2 linked regions of the Neodiprion lecontei genome follow. The main gene of each other region encodes a partner of the protein of the gene in region 2 in a complex. Links are inferred from orthologs where the notes say so. Each region holds a gene or a part of one and is shown on either strand. Other genes may lie near its edges.

Region 1 (6,154 bases), on a different chromosome or scaffold from region 2:
ACACAAAGCGCGGTAAAAACCAATTTTTCTTTCAATCACTTCACACTAAAGCAGCCAATGTTTTCATGTATGATGTGTTTCACAGACCACATTCTCAGCTTCCGATCGTTTGCTTCCAGGTAAACAAAAAAAGTTTAACGTGCAACACGAAACGCCGGTAGAACAATCATGAATCGATGAAAGAAGAAAAGATGTGTACTATTGTATATTTTGGATGATATTATGATAAGTGTTTTGCATCGAATTAAAAAAAAAACAAAGACAACATCATTACAGTTTTTTTTGTTCATTAACTTCCTGTAATATGTCGAGATTATTGAATTCAGACCGCCCAAACGTTGCGACTACGTCGAATTCAAATTTCCCGCGACATCTTTGGATCAAGACGTTGGATATATCGAAAATCGAGAGAGACAACTTCAAGTCTGTCTACTGTCGCATCATTCATTCCAATTTGTGATTTGAGACCACTGACACTGATATATATTAGTGTTTGAGACTATAGGCCGGGAACACACATGAGACCAGCGAAACACAGTGTGTCGTCCTTTTTACGCCAAGAGTAATTCGGAGAGATTTTTTAGACGACTACAACAGCCATGTCATCTTCCATTGAACAATTCGTTGGAGAAAACCTGAGATGCGAGCTGCTCGCGTTAATATGGATTCTCTGGTCCTGGAAGTTTTATCTCAGTCTTCGCCAGGTTAGCTTTCAGTCCCTGTTTATACCTCCCAATTTTTCGACTTATTAAGTGACACGCAATGCGGTACCACCCTCAAATTAAATTCATCACCCTTAGGAACAGTTTTTTCAAAGCATTCCAAGGGTGACTGGATCCTCAGTCTCTTAAAATGATTTGCATGATTATTCCCTGCAGACAAAGTTAATGAACAAACTTGTTGACGTCCCTGGCGAACTGAAGGACCTCATCACGCCGGAGGTTTATAATAAGGCACGCCTCTACGCCATCGATTGCAATTATTTTTCAAACATCAAAAGTCTGTTTTCGACATTCGTCACCACGGTGGGTATAAGCAAGCAATTTTAATTTGTCTTCTGGTTGTTCATGCATCTAAAACTCATCATCTTCAGGGGATGATACTGTTTTTTGCCTTCCGTCATTTTTGGGATTGGGCGGTGAAAATTTCTACCGCGTGCGGAATTAGCAAGCATAACGAAATACTGATTGGCGGTACTTGCATGCTGATCATGAACATCCTTAGCACTATCGTTGACCTGCCATTTTCTGTCTACAATACATTCTGGCTTGAAAACAAGCACGGGTTCAATAAGCAGGTAAGAATGTTTATAAAATAACTAGTCAAGCTTGACAAATGTGCTCCAAAAGCTGTGCTACGTTTCATCTGAATTCACAAGCAATAAAAATATTTATCCTTTTTCAGACTGTTTCATTCTATATAAAGGACCAGATAAAGAAATTTATCGTGCTACAAATAATTGTGATTCCGCTGAAATGCGGAGTAGTTTGGATAGTTCAAATAGGAGGAGATTATTTCTTTGTATATCTGTGGGTCTTTACCGGCATTGTAACTCTGTTTATGCTGATTATATACCCAGAGGTTATAGCTCCATTGTTTGACAAGTACTCTCCGTTGCCCGAAGGAGAGCTTAGAACAAAAATTGAAGAGCTCGCATCATCCCTTGGTTTTCCCTTGTACAAATTGTACATTGTTGAAGGATCCAAACGATCCTCTCACAGCAATGCGTACCTTTACGGTTTTCACAAGCACAAGAGAATTGTCCTATTCGACACCCTGGTCAAAGAATATTATAAACCAGACGCCAATGACACCGATAAAGACAAAGGTTGTGAAACTGACGAAGTCGTGGCCGTTTTAGCCCACGAACTTGGTCACTGGAAGTTGAATCACACCTTCAAGTGTCTTGTACTGTCTCAGGTAAGACTAAAGTGTATTTAGGTATTTCTCTTTCACAGCTCGCTCTAATTTTGATCGTGCATTCTTTGATTACAGGTCAACATTCTATTAATATTCATTATCTTTGCTAAACTGCTCAACTATCAACCAATGTACACTGCATTCGGATTCAGCGATTCGCAGCCAATATTCATTGGATTAATTATCGTAATGATGTACATCCTGATCCCGCTAAATACGGTAACTAATTCGATTATTTTCTGTCGTTTGATATTAATCTCATTAACCTCTCTCGTAATCCTTTTTCTTTTCCGACTTCATTCACACCTGGTCCAAATGTACTTTTTTCAGTTAATGGGCTTTGTCTCCGTTGTGATCAGCCGGAAGTTTGAATTTCAAGCAGATAATTTTGCAAAGACCTTAGGACACACTGTCCCCCTGAAAAGTGCACTAGTTAAATTGCACAAAGACAATCTGGGTTTTCCTGTATTTGACAAGCTCTATTCAGGATGGCATCACTCTCATCCCCCGTTACTTGAGCGACTAGAAGCTCTGGATGACAAAAAATCCAACTAGATAATTCGCTTTCACGTCTTGAGCATGCTGCTGCTATTGCCGCCACTGAATCAATCACGAGGTATTTTTAATACAGCAAAACAGTTTTCAACCTTAGATTTTAATGGAAAGTTTTGAAATTTCTTTTAATTAAATCTGGAGGTGAAAGAATGTTTTTTTTTTTTTTTTCAGACAATCGCAGAAAAGCGGAACGAGACGAGACAATGGGAATGATATAGCCGAATGCATCGCAAGAACAGGAATTTGTACTTACACCATCTCGCATGTTGCTTAAAGCATGCATCATAATAAGAATGTCAAAAACAATTTCAAAAGGATAATCAACCCTAGATTTATACATCGAAAAAATATAAGGTTTCAGTTTTACTTCACATATTTAACATGTGTTGGTTCGTCCAGTAAGCAACTCTGGGCACTAGTACCAATAATATGAATAATGGATGAAACGCTTCGATAACCCGAAGACGATTACCAGATGTAAGAGATCAGCATGCATGATATATTGTATTTCTTCAAAAAGTGTTTTCTTCTTTTTTTCACGCACAATATGCGAAGTAAATTCAATTCGAGAGAAATTAAACTTTTGATAAATAAATTAATAAACGTCAGAAAGAAGCACTCACTATTCCCTTTTTTTACTTACGTTCTATCTTGTACATTGTTACGAAAATCAAAATACAGATGTAGTCAGATTTCTTGACTTAGAATTGTGAAATCTACATTGTGAACCCTATATTATTATATCTTCTATTGCGTAATGTACGATATTTTTTGTGTATGTATGTACAATAAATTAATCTTATTACGTAAAGAGAAATTCTCCTTATCTTTTTTCAAAGATTGATTATATGTCAGTTTGGAAAATTGGATGCCAATAGCGAGCAAAAAACTTTGTTTCGTTACTTTTAGAGCTGCTGGAGGTAGCTTCGCGTGTACAGAAAGTGCAGCGGAGAAGTGAGAAAAAGAGGTACGTGTTGCTTTCACTGAAATGTAGTTCTACATAAATACAGTGGACATACATGTCAATCTGTTTCTCCTGCTCCACTCTTGTTTGCTCGATACATTTTCTCTCAGTCATCAAATGCAGAGTGAAAGAGACGGAGTAACCCTAATATATATTTCTCTCTCTCTCATCACTTCGGCTGCATTTTTCGCGATGTCGAGAGAATGGTTTGCTCTCTCTAGATAGTACATGCTCCAAGGTTAAATACTACTCCACTGCACTAGTGACGCCTCGTGTTCGTAACGCGAGGTATTAAATGGCGACGGCACCGTTTCCGGTTTGTCACTGAACTACGTGAACTAGTGACCGCTGCCCGCCAGTGTCAATCTTGGGTTAACGACAAGTGTCTCACCATTGTAATATGCCAAGATTGATATGCCGCACAGAGTATTAATTAGGTGATATAACAGAGAAAAGTTGAAACGTCAACATCCGAGACCGTGACACGTCATTAATCAAACTCCGGTATAGATCAGCATCCGCGTACGTTTTCAAAGTTGTACGGATAGCTGCAAGCAATGGCCGAAACAGAGGGGAAAAAGTTGGTCGAGCTACGCGTGATCGATCTGAAAACCGAGCTGGAGAGACGCGGGCTTGACAAGACTGGCAATAAAGCTGCTCTTCTCGAACGCTTGTCGAAGGTAAAAGAACAGTTGCTATTAAATTATAAAGATCCCCAATCTCTACACCGATTATCAAATCGGGCGTGGGATGACGAATCGTCCGGCAAACGTTACGCGTGAGACGCCATTTTTATGCTATTGATTTTTTTGTCACCTCGGTCTCGTTATTATGCGTTATCGCCTTTCGTGTTGCCTCAACTATTTTCAGCCGTAACGCGATAACAGCCGGCGTTTACTCCCTCTGCTCAGGACTTCTGTCTTCGCCTATAGAGATAAACCACTTTCCCATGGTTCCCGGTGTTTCTCCTCGATTTCTCAGTTTCTTCACTCGATGAGCGCGTATTTGAATAACAACGATTGTTACCCACTCTTCGTTGAGTCATTATTTTGTTCATCACGTGGCCCGACGTGCTGTTTATCTTGAATATTTTCCCACTCCTCGAGACGAAGTTGATACACAATGGTGTTTATCCTTTTTTCAAAATAGTTTGTATCACGTATCTTTGATATTTTTGACAGGCGATCACAGAGGAAGGAGGCAAACCTGACGAGTATTTAATTGTACCGAGTGGTGGACCTAACAAGGTTATACCAAGAAAAAACAGTGGTGAGATTTTTAGCCCTGATGTCTGCTGTTACAGTCTATTTCCTTATTTCAAGTAACTATTGCATGGGATCACTTTGCACTTTTAGTAACCGGCATACCTGGCCAAGAAGAATCTTTGGAAGGGTCTGATAATCGAAAAGATGAAAGTTTGGAAAATCAAGCAAACTCAGAAATGAAGATCAAAGAAGAGACGTCACCCCCATCTAGTGAAGAAATCTCTGAGAATGTAGTCAAGAAGGAAGTTAAGAAGGTGATATAGAAATCAAGATAGAATTTTTCAAACTGATGCTTTAAATAATTTTTGGCCAATCTTAGTCCTCAACGCATCTGCAAACTGGCATAACCAATTTTACTCAATAGGAACAAGAAGAAGACAAGGTGAATGAAGGAGTCAAGGCTGTGGATATTAAGAAGGAAGATATCAAAAAAGAGGATATCAAGATGGAGGACATGAACAAAGTGGTTACTAAGAAGGAAGATATTGAAAATGAAGAGGTCAAAAAAGAAGAGCCAAAAGAAGAAATCGAAAACGAAGCAGATGAGGATCAGAATGATAAAAATGATGTCGATAACACTGTTAAGACTGAATCAAGCCCACCACCAGTTCTGTCCAATCCTACCGCTGTCGAAGCAAACGGAATTGATAACGAGGACTCGATTAATCTGACAATTGGCGAAGACGAAGAGAATCTCCTTGCCGAAGAGGTATGATTACTGTTTACTCCTCGTTGATTTCTGTAGTTATTCATTTACAATTGTATCCAAATTCTTTGACATTTCCAATCGACTAGTCTAAATTTTGACATGCTCTATTTTCAGACGGAAACTCACGACAGGCGCAAGGGTAAGTCTTATTCACAGTTGTAACATTTAAGTAGTTGTAATGTAAAGAGAACTAGTTATAAGTCTTCCGAAGACGTAGAAAATTACGATCATCAAATCATTCGGACGTTCTTCCAACTCTCTAAATCTCGTTACTGAGATTCCTGCACCGAAACTTACTGGAACTGCGACGAGCATCATGAGATGCAAAAGCTTATGGCACAACCTGCAACATTGCCCTATGGATTTGGAGAGGATACATACGTTCTTTCGATCATCTGGGTGGTTGAGACTGTCTCAACGGGATGCTGGCAAGAACTCTTCGCCTGCAAGCCGATCAGCAAAGAAGAAACTTCTATTGATGGGAAATCAACCAACGACCAGCTTTCATAATATGGATCATGATCTAGCATATGAAGTCGAATATATTTTTTTTTTTTCTGCCTACTCTGCAGGTGATAGCAACTAAGTTTGCCCTAGTCTTTTAAGTATTTTACACAATTACATTATTTATACCCTGCCGCATAGAGCATCGTTGGATATTTATCAGCTAATTCTCTTTGCTACACGGAATTCAAGAAGAACGACATTTTGCATCCTTCAAGCCGATCGGATGATATTTAC
Region 2 (5,938 bases):
TATTTACATGGTGTTTGCATATTAATTGTCTATATTTATGTACTTTACCTTAATATACTCCACCAATCTTGCTTGAGTTGCGTAATCTTCTTTTCTCGTTTCCTTCTCTTTCTCATATTCCTTCATTTGTTGATCAATATCGCCACTCCCTTGATTTTCTGTAACTATTTGAACTTCTTGCGAATCTATGAATACTTTGTGCAGTACAGACATTAGGAACTCTTCTTTGTTTTCAGGGGTCATAGTATCGATGGGAAAACTTTCTGGCAATTTTGCACTTAAACTCATTAGCTGTTCCAGTGCTTCGCGGATTTTTTCTTGAAAAAGTAGCTGTCTCAAATTTTCAAAGCGAGAATCCAGTTCAGAAAGAATATCCTCCTCGCATTCCATGTGCTCTGTAAGATTAGCCACCTTTATAAAGGGCCAGAAAAATACATTTGATAGGGTATTACCTTCGACACATATGTTTGATATAGCACTTTGGATGCTTGGGGCAAGCGCATTCCAAATGTCTACTCTAATCTTCGCTCCTGGTTCACTAATACTTGCAAATCTTATTCTCAGAGTCTTGAGTTTTTTCTTTGCATCTGCCAACTGCTGTGTCAACTTGTCTAAGTTGAACTGGAAAGAACGAATATTAATACAAGTAAAGTAATGATTAGATCATCTATCAAAATCAGTGTTATGTTAGGCAATGGAAGACAGAAGACAAGAGAAACTTACTTTTCCAGCAAATGGATTGCACTGCAACAAAGTTCTGAGTAATTGAAAAGCATATTTGCGAACAATCGCGTTTTTATCATTTAATCGGTGAATTACCGCCGTAAGAAGAGCGTTTTGATTTACTAAGGGCACGGCACCTTCTGTGCAAAGATATTGCCAGACCTGAAGAGTCTTGGATCTAACAAACGCGTTTGTGTCCAACAAATGATCCATAAGGTTCTCCAAACACTCGTCTCGTGTTGTCTTCTGATCTTCAGATAGATCTTCAGACGTTAGAATCTCTTTCACTATCGTTCCCAGTATACCAATCACACAGTTTCTCATTAGGTAGCACTATAAAGCAAAGAAAGTGTTGCACGAAATCTGAACATAGAAAATTCACCAATCATTTACACTGATCTCTGTTATACCTCATTTGCAAGATGGTCAGTCAAGTTGCTAACAGCTGGTAATATGAGGTTTGGTTTTGACGAAGCAATTGCGTCAAGGAAAGTCGCAATGTTACGCGTCCCCCCTTCCTCTGGGGTTGCTCGGTCAACTTCACGCAGTATCTCCTTAATGATACCGGTGCATTTGGTTTGTTCAATAACTTCTATTATACCAGTTGCCAAATACACTGCTAGTCCATCGCACATTTTGACCAACTAATTCCGAGGAAACATTTTTTCATCAGGATTAACTGCATACTTCTAGTTAACTTGAGGTAAAGAATTTTCTTTAGGCTACTAACCTGAACTACTTTTATTACAAAGGATATACTATGGTTGTACCGCTTTACTAGAGTCCCCAGTATCTGAAATAAATGAGATTAGACATTGCCAGTGATAATTAGTATTCAGAACTGGAATCAGATTTAAAATTTTCAAATAGTAGGTATAGCAGAGAAAATTAAACCTGCAAATCTAGAGTTTCTATACAAAATTTCATAAGAGCTTATTTTTTCAATAGACTTTACGAAACTCATTATTCACTGTAGCTGGTAGAAAATTGAAAAAAAATATTTTCAGCAATTCGTCAAAGATATAATGAGCATTTAATAAAGTAGGGGTAAGTGATTGAAATATTTCTATGTTATGCCAAAGACTCCATAACTTTCAGAATATATTCAGTAACAGTGAATACCTGGTTTACAGGTTCTTTAAGCATTGAATTAATTGTATATTGTCCATGAAAACTCACTTGGAAGATTGATTCCCGCACAGATTTGTCTTTGACATTTTTGCATCTTTCTAGAACCCTGTAGCATATTTCTGAAATGCACCTAGACAATAAAAGATTTTAGAATATACAATTGGTTCTCTAACAAGACATGCTTAGAGTTTTCATTTTTTTCGGAGTTTCCAAATAAACCTGTGACTAAGAAATACTAACTTGATAAAACTCCCATCAGCTATTGGCGGTTGCCAAAGTTTTTCAAGTGGCAATTGTATCCAGTGATATATCTGTACCAAAATTTCATCGATTTGATCATACCACTTGAGTTCCCAATCCGTTTTCGATGATACTTTCTTCCGTTGCTAAAGCAAAATTTCAAAGACAAACAAGAGATTAAAAACACAATAACTGAGCGATTGGATGTAGATGCAGATTACATAAAAACAAAAACTTATGCAAGATATAAAACATAGCAGTCATTTGTAAATTGCCTAACTTAATAAAATGACGTCTAACGCTTCTTTGGAAGATAATCAAGGTGAACGATATATTAATTGCTAAATAACTAAAATAATAACGAAAATAAAAGAGACTAAATTTTGAGTCATTTCCATGTTCTACACATCAGGGTTTACAAGCAGAATTAATAATCTTGTGGCTTCTTTGTATTATGATTTATTAATATAAAGATTAAGAAAAGAAATTTTAACCTATTACGTTTAAATTTTGTGATTTCAAGTTTCTTGAAAGAAATCGTTGCTATGTTTGTGGTACTGTGGGTTGCTGCTACATTTAAATAGTTTTTTATAATCAGACAACAAACCAGAGTACTATTTCATATTTTACCCTTACTGTTTTTATAATAATGTTTTTGTGAGAACGTTTTGAAATTGTAGAAATCGTTTTTCACCTTTGAACTTCCGCCAGCAGATTCTTCAGACACAACAATCTCGATGTGACGAATTAAACTAGACAACAGGTAAGCGAGCATATTGGTGATGGTAAGCAGTTGTGGTTTATCTTCTGCCGCTGGTTCTCTTCCTCTGTCGTACTGCTTTTCTAATTCGTTTGTAAACATTTTAAGGCCTGAAAAGTAACAAGTAAAACATGTAAAGAATTATGTTTTGTTGTGTAAAAGTTGTGAAAGTTGAAATACTTACATTTGTGGATTCGATCAACTGCTAAAAGGTGAACAGGTATTTTTAAATTTGAGCCGTGCACGAGAACAGAGAAGAATTTGTCGAAGTGTTCGAGCAAGAAGCTGGGCCCCTCCTCCTGCAGGATAGCATTTGTATCTGAAATAGTAATTACAGCGGTGGACTATCAAGTAATAGAATTATCACAAAATTACAGCAACAAACAAGACAGAAAAAAAACCAAAACCCGGAATGAATATTTAATAGTGGAATTTGACTAAAATATAATGATAACATACCAGCAAGAATGTTTTGTATGTCCCGAAGCGGATATACATTTCTAACGGAGTATTTTCCCGGCTGGGTCTGAAGAAGTTGATCCTTGTCGGACGGTATCACAAATTCGGGCATGGCGCTCCGCATTTTAGAATAGAATTATTTACTCAGAGTTTCACTGACATTTCACACGTTGTTGATACACGCGTTACTGATGGCGTTCTTAGTTCGCAATTGATGTAACGGCGGAATTTTGAATCTAGTGACGCCAACATCACACTGCCGGTTATCGCTGCTCAAATAGCCGACAACAATGTATGTTTGGGTCTGCAGAGTTGTCTACACTGTTTTCCGCTTAACTGCACTCACCTTCAGAGTACTTGAGCTTGTAAGAACTTCACCGTGAAGTACGCTCCTTACCATTGATGCGTTAGAAAGAGACATGTCTTTGTCGACGAAATTGGACAAAATACTCCAATCACGTCTCCGTTCACCGTCGAACACAGGGAACGTCTGAATTACCGACCAATACTTGGCCCGCCGAATATGGTTACTCGAGGGCATCACGAAAGAACGATACCTGAAGTATCAAGCGTAACACCGGTGCGGCATTAAATCACGGATGGAATAGATTCAGAGATGAAAATAAAATCATGCTGAGATTTACTTTGAAAAATTGGCTTACAAATAATCAACAGTGTTTAAAAACGACTATCTTCCATGTGACAAAGATGACACAGATCTCAGCAACGATAGAAAATCAATGCAATAATTCAACAACTAATGCCACAGTAGAAAAGATGAAATTTTTGGTTAAGTTATTGAAAATTGACACAAGAGAAGCACGGCATTATTTAAAGGCAAATCAACTCTTGCGCATGGTTCCAAACGAACAAATCGCCGAAACCTACGCACTTTGCTTGGTGAGTATGAGCGACAAGATTAATAAATAAAAAGACGATAAGTACCGTATATTGATTCATATTAAAAAGGCAAATACCACACACAGAAATATGGAATTGGCAACGAAGTGAAGGACATTATAGGAGTAATATCTCTCAAAGCATCCACTTTGGAGCGAAGAATAACTTACTTTCAAGAATTGGGTTGCACAAAATTATTAGCAAACATATTAAAACCGTAAGTAAATACTTGAGAATGTGACAATATGCAACTTTCATTATGACTTCATTCGAATCACTTGATAACGCGAGTAAATACCTTAAACTATTAACTATTAATGTCTGTTATATCAGAAGTTCTCACCCTCAGTCTTGTGTATTCCAGTTTTATGACAGGCTGTGAATACAGTCTTCAACAATTTCAGGACTGGAATCTGCTACCGGCTGATGTTGACATTGCGAAAAATATTTTCAGTGTTCTCAATAAACCACCGCCAGATGTTCCATGCTTAGATTCACTAAAAAAAAGTAATTCTATTCACACATATCGCTCCATTTGCCTAGAGCATTATCTCAAGTGGCGGCTGGAGTACACTGAAAAGGAATTGAGTAAATTAACAGCAGTTATACAAAAGTTTCGTTATTTCTCTATAAGATCGATCGAAGAAGTAATCGACTGTCTAGAGAATGAACTCGAATTTTCTAAAGCTAAGGTAACGTCAATTTTGAATTATTTTTCGGGTATCATTAGTAATTGTTTATAGTAAATAATTATATTTATGTTTTCCATAGATAAAGCAAGCTAATTTTCTACTTCGTGCAGACGCAACAAATATCAAGCAGTTACTGACGACGTATAAACAAGTTGCTGGCAGTGATATGAAGCCTTTGTTAATTAAAAATCCAAAACTTTTGGACGTAAAGGCAGACCTGATCCCTGCAAGGTTAGAGATTCTTAAAAAACACGGTGTGACAGAATCTGCGCTAAAAGTATATCCTACTATATTATTGCTCTCGAAGGAAACCATAGAATCTAGACTGAAAGAGATACAGAGCATACCGGAATTAAGAGGTTTTTTGGATCATCAACGCTTATTGCTCTTAATTCTATATTTACGAAAAGCAAAAGATCGTTTACAGTTCATGAAAGAGCATAATGTGAAGAGCATCAGCCTTTTTACGCTTAGCTCTAGTTCCGTTTATTTCAATAGGTTAGTGAAATAATTCGTTCTTCATCACTTTTTCACTATCAAAGTTTACTCCGTTATTCTTAATATAAAAAGAATTCTTTATTTCTCTGCTTTTTTATTTCATTTTTGAAGACAACTTGAAGAGGGACTTGTACGAGCTAAAGGTACAGACTTGTTACAATTTTTGAGTAAAAACACAGGCGCCTCTCAAGCTTCTATTCACCGGTCCCTACAGAAGAATTCAATGTGGCTTCATGCACCATTTATTCACGTGGTGGATACATATTTTTATTTAATAGAAAGAAATTATACCAACGAAGATATTCTGAATAATGTTCATATTCTACTCTACAAAAGGTAAGACGATGTTTTTTCGTGATTAGAATTAAGAAAAATTCAAACTTTGTATCTTTCTTCACTGTCAAAATTAATTATTTTTTTTATTCAACAGTTCACGTGTTGAACAAGTGCTGGAAAAAATTGAATCCGACGAATCCGAGAAATCTAATAATTGGAGTCCTAGTCAGAAACTTGCTTTGTGTGTTTATTATATTGA

The links.
Region 1: condensin complex subunit 1 (region 2) and condensin complex subunit 2 share a complex: the UniProt entries of both Homo sapiens proteins name them as parts of the condensin complex. The link is inferred for Neodiprion lecontei from reciprocal best matches to the Homo sapiens genes NCAPD2 and NCAPH.

What each region holds. Positions count from the first base shown.
Region 1 is NC_060262.1:1,186,516-1,192,669, reverse strand, and holds the start of condensin complex subunit 2, read right to left. Parts: upstream 3,649-6,154; 5' UTR 3,379-3,648; intron 2,773-3,378; exon of another isoform or gene 2,647-2,772; intron 2,537-2,646; exon of another isoform or gene 2,476-2,536; coding exon of another isoform or gene 2,251-2,475; intron 2,140-2,250; coding exon of another isoform or gene 1,996-2,139; intron 1,921-1,995; coding exon of another isoform or gene 1,405-1,920; intron 1,298-1,404; coding exon of another isoform or gene 1,094-1,297; intron 1,026-1,093; coding exon of another isoform or gene 879-1,025; intron 705-878; coding exon of another isoform or gene 600-704; exon of another isoform or gene 410-599; intron 266-409; exon of another isoform or gene 158-265; coding exon of another isoform or gene 86-157; intron 13-85; coding exon of another isoform or gene 1-12. Other genes in the region: CAAX prenyl protease 1 homolog, read left to right, coding at 600-704, 879-1,025, 1,094-1,297, 1,405-1,920, 1,996-2,139, 2,251-2,475; SAFB-like transcription modulator, read left to right, coding at 3,997-4,119, 4,621-4,708, 4,795-4,958, 5,069-5,413, 5,528-5,552; uncharacterized protein LOC107224625, read left to right, coding at 1-12, 120-157. UniProt on the Homo sapiens protein: Regulatory subunit of the condensin complex, a complex required for conversion of interphase chromatin into mitotic-like condense chromosomes.
Region 2 is NC_060261.1:30,817,334-30,823,271, forward strand, and holds the start of condensin complex subunit 1, read right to left. Parts: upstream 3,699-5,938; 5' UTR 3,438-3,698; coding exon 3,314-3,437; intron 3,174-3,313; coding exon 3,039-3,173; intron 2,965-3,038; coding exon 2,789-2,964; intron 2,241-2,788; coding exon 2,095-2,240; intron 1,985-2,094; coding exon 1,903-1,984; intron 1,517-1,902; coding exon 1,454-1,516; intron 1,368-1,453; coding exon 1,134-1,367; intron 1,057-1,133; coding exon 724-1,056; intron 622-723; coding exon 453-621; intron 396-452; coding exon 49-395; intron 1-48. Other genes in the region: transcription termination factor 5, mitochondrial, read left to right, coding at 3,944-4,213, 4,300-4,430, 4,578-4,905, 4,985-5,403, 5,515-5,739, 5,834-5,938. UniProt on the Homo sapiens protein: Regulatory subunit of the condensin complex, a complex required for conversion of interphase chromatin into mitotic-like condense chromosomes.